Macaca mulatta: one gene and its partner. The protein of the gene in region 2 purifies or fractionates together with the protein of the main gene of each other region. This does not show direct contact. Links are inferred from orthologs where the notes say so. Each region holds a gene or a part of one and is shown on either strand. Other genes may lie near its edges.

Region 1 (3,653 bases), on a different chromosome or scaffold from region 2:
TTGTCTCTGTTTAAAATAAAAAATTACAGTGGTTTGTGTGAGGCTTGTCATGTTTTGTTTGGGTAATGAATAAGGAAATATGGGCATGTTTACTGAATCTTTAAACACCAGATTTTGTGGTGATAAATAACTTATTGAAAAAAAACAATGCATGAATACTTGATTTACCTGGATGTAGCAATTGCTGAACAGTCCAGGCTAAACCTAGGCAAAACAATAGTTCTTAACCCAGAGCTTCTGGCCATAACTAAAATCTTGTCTTCCCTTGAAGAAGGTGATTTCCTCTTAGATGGAGATTACCTGCTTATTCTCCCATGTGTGTCCAAGGAGGAGGAGAGAATTGGTGATGGGAATGGTTGGATATGTTTTCACCTTTTTTCCCAGAAAAACGCACAAAGGCACTTAGGCCACTGATTGCCAGGTTTTACAAATAAAAATGTAAGATGAGTATTTAAATTTGAATTTCAGATAATCAATAATTTTTAGTATAGTTACATCCCGTTTAATGTTTGGGACATCTTTAATACTAAAAAAAATCTGCTGTTTACCTGAAATTTAATTGGATGTCTAGTATATTATCTTGCGATCCTACCTGGGGGTAAGGGTAGGGGGATCAAACAAAAATTCAGGACTCATCCCCATACCCCCAGGGGAGAAGGCTGAAGAGGTTTCTGTTTGGTTTTAGTTATCTTTGAGTTGTCTAAGAGTGTTCTAATGGTAAATCACATACAAAGATGCGTATAATACATTCCTCTGATAGGTCTTAAAGTCCAGTTCCACCTAGTAGATTTGTTGGGTCATTTTTATTCTTTTACAGCCCTGTGATATAATTCAGGTGTATCTAGTATAACCCTCATAAAATCATTTGTGCAAAAGTTTAACATTTTTATTAGGGTTTTTTTTTGTTTTTTCTCCTGAGGAAATAATTTCTGATTTACAAAAAAGAGTCACATCACAGGATTCTTCTGGGCTCTCCTGATAGTCTTCACCAATTGTAGACCAAGGAGGCTTATAGTTAGAATATTTAGTCTAGAAGAGAGGTTCTCTAACTTTATGTGCATCAAAATCACCTGGAGGGCTTGACCCCCCCCGCCCCCCCCAACAGTTTCTGATTCAGATGGTCTGGGTTAGATATCAACATTTGTTCCCATTCAAGTTCCCAGGTGATGTTGATTCTGCTGGTCCAGGGACCACGTATTATCTATAAGTAGCTCTGAAACTAATATAATTAGCACATTAGTTTTACCATCCACTCAACATTTTTGGGATAAAGTACTGTATCTGAATCTGGAAATTAATAATATCCTTTTAACTATTGTTTTAAGGTGCTTCCCAGGAAACAACTAACTTTTTGATGGATGAACTCCTTTTTACATCCTTGAGGGATTTTTTGGCCCTATTATCCTTCCCTTAGGAAATGTCTTTGCAGAAGTATGTGTGAGAATAGCTATCTCTTATTTAGTTTAGATTTTCATGCCTGACTGGTCCAGTACACTCATTTTACTTCACATTCATCTTTCCATTGATAACATTAATGATGAATCCCAGGTTGTGATACACATGTACATTTTGAGTAAATACTCAGTTTCTAGTGCATACCATAGAGCCTGTATTTACATCTATTATGTGATCCACTACCAAATATATAATTATTTTTTAAAGACTATAAATTGATTTACTCCATTAGTTTATATAGTCACTTTGGAATAAATCAGTGTAAAAGCCAACATTAAATATGTCTCTTATAATGAAAGCTAGGTCTTGTCTTGACAATTGCCCTTCTACTTTTTCAGAGAGACTCAGAAAAGGTTAAAGTTGGAGGTGAGGGTGGAGGGTGGATGATTGAAAGAATGTTCTTTAAGTTATAATGCAATAAACTAGTAATGATACTTCTATGAAATGAATATGTGTACAGAGAAATATAAATATATACATGAGTAATCTTGAAGTCTGGGTATTTGGGGAAAAAAGTAAAAAGACAATATAATGTACATGAGTAATGGTGTTTCTTAGGTGGACAGCAGCAAGGAATCAGCTGAAGCAGCTTGTGATATACTATCGCAACTTGTGAATTGCTCTTTAAAAACACTTGGACTTATTTCAACTGCTCGACCAAGCTTTATGGATTTACCAAAGGTATCTGGTCTTCTTGTTTTATTTTCTATTACTGAGAAATCCGGTGAAAGTCTAACCTTTTTTTTTTTTTGTATTGACAGTGTGAGTATAAGGAAAGTAATATATATACATAATGGAAAATCAGTTACTATTTACAATGAAAAGAAATAGTATTTTTTAAGCTTTTTTTTTTAAATCACCGTACTTCTAAATTGGTATGGTTAAAGAAATTTAGACAGGCGTCTATAGGAAGTACTCAAAGAAATTCAGTAAGTAAAACAGAGTCAACCATATTAGAAAAAAAGGGACACATAGATACTCATTTTGGGGCTTCCAGAGCAGATTGGTGAAGTTAGAATCAAAAGTAGAGAGTGCCAGTATTGAGAGCAGGTCTAACTTATAAAATCTTTTGGCAAATGTTCTGTAAAGATTTAATCTTGACCAAGGTTAGTATCAGCACAGTTTAGATTAATTTACAGACTTAAAGACATCCTTTATTTGGGGGAAAAGTTAACATATATTCATATATATATTCTAACGTGATCCTGCACATAATCAGAGATCGTGTCTCTCTCACAACTATTCTCTTAAAATACAAAAATAATAAGGGTACATTTTTAGAAAGGTGGTAAAGGTGTCTGAGTATGTTAGCTAATGGTTAGTAGGTTAGTCTCCAACAATAATTGATAAGTTTTTTCCCCAGAAGACACTGAAAACTAAAATACGGACATCCTTTTAGGTACCTGGTAACATACTGGGATGATTGAGGAGGGAATATAACTGAATTGAATATATAACCCAAGTGGTGGTTTCAGTAGAATGTCTGTACCAAATAAATCACCAGTTGATGTCAAAGTCTTAATTGATTTTGAAATATTTTCATTACATATGTATATTTTGAGATAAAATGTTTTTCTTCATGTATAAAATAAGGGAAATGGGCAGGAGAATCTAATTTTTTTTTTTTTTTTGAGACGGAGTCTTGCTCTGTTGCCTAGGCTGGAGTGCGGTGGCCAGATCTCAGCTCACTGCAAGCTCCGCCTCCCGGGTTTATGCCATTCTCCTGCCTCAGCCTCCTGAGTAGCTGGGACTACAGATGCCCGCCACCTCGCCCGGCTGGTTTTTTGTATTTTTTTAGTAGAGACGGGGTTCCACCGTGTTAGCCAGGATGGTCTCGATCTCCTGACCTCGTGATCCGCCCGTCTTGGCCTCCCAAAGTGCTGGGATTACAGGCTTGAGCCACCGCGCCTGGCCCTAATTATCTTAATATTTTAAGATCCTAAGTACAGAAGTTAGATCAGCATGGTACTCCGACTTAATGTGTAAAAATCTTCTGAATAGCCTCCTAAATTTTGGATTTGTATCCCTTTTTCAAATTCGGGGTGATTCTAAGTCTCCTCTTCCTGTGAGCAGTCCAGGTGATTCTGATTAAGATGGTTAAGGAAACTCACTCTAAGAAATACGGGTTACATGGTATAGCGCCACCTTCAAGCTTCAAATGGGAAATGAAACAATCTGAATTGATTTTTAGTGTACCT
Region 2 (3,653 bases):
GAAGTATGTCCATTGCCTCGAAAAGATATTCACCATATATTAAACCAGAAACATATATAGCATATCTCATTTTTCTTCTACTTTGAAGAAATGTATGCTAATTATCAATTTTTAACTTTTTTATGAAGTTAAAAAAATGTGTTTGTTTCTCTCTTTCTCACTCCTATCTCAAACCCCCACTTCCTAAGGGGGAGGTATGATTAATAGTTTGGTAAGTATTTTTCCAATTATTTTCTTGTGCACATATAAACAAAAGTAGATACATGCAATGTAAATTTTATTTTATCAAAGTAATATATGCAAGTAGTTTTAAAAGCTTTATAACAAAGAATAGCATCATAGTGTGTTCTACTTTAGCCTTCTCTTTTGCTTTTCTTCTCAGATCTTTTCTACTTAAAATATTTGATTACAAAGTACCTATATTATTTTTTAAGTTCTTCTATTTTTTAAATCTATGTAACTTTTATGTGAAATGAGAGATGTAAATTATATCTGTGGAAGAAGAACACCATACTTCAATACAGCTTTTAGTCCTTTGTTTCCTGAAGTACCAAAACAAAATTCTTAGGTTTCAAAACTTTTCCCATTGCACCACATTACTTTAGTCCATATCATTCTGTGCATTTGTTTGGTTCATATAATGTTTATTAAGGCCAGGCCTGTGATGGTTCATGCCTGTAATCCCAGCCCTTCGGGAGGCTGAGGTGGGAGGACGACTTGAGGCCAGGAGTTCAAGACCAGCTTGGACAACGTGGGGAGACCCCCACCTCTACAAAAACTACAAAAATTAGCTGGGCATGGTGGCATATGTCTGTGGTCCCAGTCGCTCTAGAGTCTTAGGTGGGAGAAGTCAAGGCTGCAGTGACCCATGATTGCACCACTGCATTCCAGCCTTAGCAACAGAGCACAATCCTGTCTCAAAAAAAAAAAAAAAAAGTTTATTAAAGGCATTAAGAATGCTTATTCAGCCTATTAAGAAAGGGAAAGGTTATTAATTATCAGTCATACTTAATTCTTCATTTTATGAATTAATCATGTCCTTTGGGTTTATTTTCTTTTCCCATCTTACTGTCATTGAACTCTTGTACCACATAGAATCGTTTTGACCAAAAAGTTGAACATGGAGAACTCTTGCTGTTCTCAGTTCTTCCTCATTTCTGGTGGGGAAGATTTTGAAACTAATGTTGCAACAGAGATTAGGGGATTATTATTGCCTTAGATTACCCCTCCAGGACATTTAAGTTTTGTACTGTTTCAATTTAAGAAAACTTAAAATTGCTAGTTCTTTCAACTTCTTAATTTTTGATCCGTGTAAAAACTTTTTCATCTTTGTTCTGTCTAGTAACTCCTCTTGCCAAGCAAATACATAAAATTAGATGCTTCCCAACAAACGTTTATTACCAGACATGATAAATTATTCATAGTTGGAGATAATTTTATTAAACTCCGATGCTTTTATATCACTATCCATCTAACAACAACAGTCTTCTCCCCTGAAGTATTTGTACATTGGTAGTGGGTGGGTTAAGATGGGGATCAGGTGTTGGGGAGGTGACTACAAACCAAGGCAGAAAAGGGATGTGATAAAATATAAATGTGGGGATAGAAAGGATTGCCTCCTACTTGGAAACCCATGAGATTTCTTAAGGTGAAATGGTGGGATGTCTTTAACATCCTCATAAAAATATAGCACTGTGACTCTTCAAGCTGTGCTCCTAAAGAGGAAGATGGTGCTCCTAAAGAGGAAGAAGTGTCAGACCTGATTAGTGTATTTATGTCACTAATAACTACAGTTGTAAAAAATCAACAAGACTTATTTAGTGAAACGATGGGATCGGAATCGGTTAAGAGAACAAAATGATCTAGACCGAGCAACTTTTTAGAACAATCTGTCCAGTAGAACTTTCTGCAATGATGGAAATGTTCTGTAGCTATACTGTTCAGTATGGTAGCCACCAGCGATACATGTGGCTGTTGAGGACTTGAAATGTGGCAAGTGTGACTAAGGAACTGATTTTTAAATTTAACTAACTTAAATTTAAATGGCTACATGTGGCTTTTGGTTACCATATTAGATAGTACACTTCTAGAATATGCATTTCCCTGCTTCTTAATCACTCCTCTTCACAAGTAAGACATAATCACTATTCTGAAAGACCATGTGGCCTGTGGAAAAGACAGATAAATACTTAACCTTAAGATCAAGAACATAAAAGAAGCAAAATAGGAAATAAGATATGTCCAGCTGAAAAGAACAGAATCTAGATGAAAATTAGTATGAGTCAAATAATAAGATTGGACCTTCCATGGGTGATATCTCTTTTAAATTTGCTCTTGGGGAATGTTCCATTTCTTCACAACAGAAGATGCAAAGTAAGCAGTCTCCTGGTACTGTCCCAGAATTTTCCTAGATGTCTGCCATGTGTAAGCCTTTTTACTACTTACTTCATTGAAAAAAGCTATAATCTCCACCCCAGCTCCATGAAACCTTTTCTTATTTTTATAAGTTAATCTGGCATTTTCTACACTCAGAGAATTAATAACCACATAATTTGGCATCTACTTATTATTAGTTTCTTTTTTAATAAATTAGAAACTTGAAAATGGGCATTATGATTTCAATCTCTTAAACGATTACAATATTACAGAAAAGTACTCATATTCTTTTTTTTTTTTTTGTCCCCTCAGATTCCTTTTTACCATGATATTCTTATTCACTTGCTTATTCATTATATAGGATGTTTCTGGTTTTTTCCCCCCAGTAGCAGATATTCTAGATTTTTCAAGTTTTCCTTTCTATATGAAAAGCCATTTTCGTGTAGAAAGTATTTCATCAAGTTTAAATAATGAAACCAATTTCTTTAATTGCTTTGATACTTCTTTATATGTTTTTATGTTCACAAATTAAATTTTTGCTAAGTCACTTTTATTTAATGAAAATTAGTGATTTTATTCAGTATTTCATTAAAATACTAGGTAATTTGTGCTGTAATTAAAAAATATATATTAGTATGGTTTTTGGAAAAAGTAATTTATATATCAATAAGAGGTAATAAGATGATAGGTTGGCATTTCAACTTTTAGAATAACATGATTTTGTAATAATTTATGTCTTCTAAATATATATTTTTAATAATTTAAATAATATTTTCTTCTCTCTAGATTTTTGCTTCAGTGTCTTGAGGATCTTGATGCCAATCTACGAAAATTAAACTCCCGTCTGTTTGTGATTCGTGGACAACCAGCAGATGTGTTTCCCAGGCTTTTCAAGGTAATTTGAAAAATATTTGCATAAAACAATATTTTCTCAGAGAATATTACATATTTGGTAAATAAGGTTTTTTGGCTAATTTAAGGTGTAGAGAATATAAGTATTTTCAGGTAAAATTTTTGTGGGTTTTTTTTTCTTTAATGAAAAAGCTACACGTGGTAAAAATCAGACGGTGGGAAAATAGTTTACAATGAAAAGTTCAATCTTTCTTCTACCTTAAACTGCTAGTTCCCCTCCCAGAAGCAACAACTACTACCAGTTTCTTATGTATCCAATTCCAGTTTATTGTGTATCCAATTAGAAATATTTTTTGCATAAAAAAAGAATTTTTGTGTGTGTGTGCATATTACACACACACACACACACACACATATCCATGTGT

What was found. Proteins that work in one complex are often made in the same cells at the same time.
Region 1: the proteins of CRY1 (region 2) and FBXL3 purify together in Homo sapiens (affinity purification with mass spectrometry; 4 studies listed by BioGRID and IntAct, counting the BioPlex papers as one, with this or other methods). This does not show direct contact. The link is inferred for Macaca mulatta from reciprocal best matches to the Homo sapiens genes CRY1 and FBXL3.

What each region holds. Positions count from the first base shown.
Region 1 is NC_133422.1:71,811,665-71,815,317, reverse strand, and holds part of FBXL3 (F-box/LRR-repeat protein 3), read left to right. Parts: intron 1-2,013; coding exon 2,014-2,136; intron 2,137-3,653. UniProt on the Homo sapiens protein: Substrate-recognition component of the SCF(FBXL3) E3 ubiquitin ligase complex involved in circadian rhythm function. Plays a key role in the maintenance of both the speed and the robustness of the circadian clock oscillation.
Region 2 is NC_133416.1:114,223,531-114,227,183, reverse strand, and holds part of CRY1 (cryptochrome-1), read left to right. Parts: intron 1-3,162; coding exon 3,163-3,271; intron 3,272-3,653.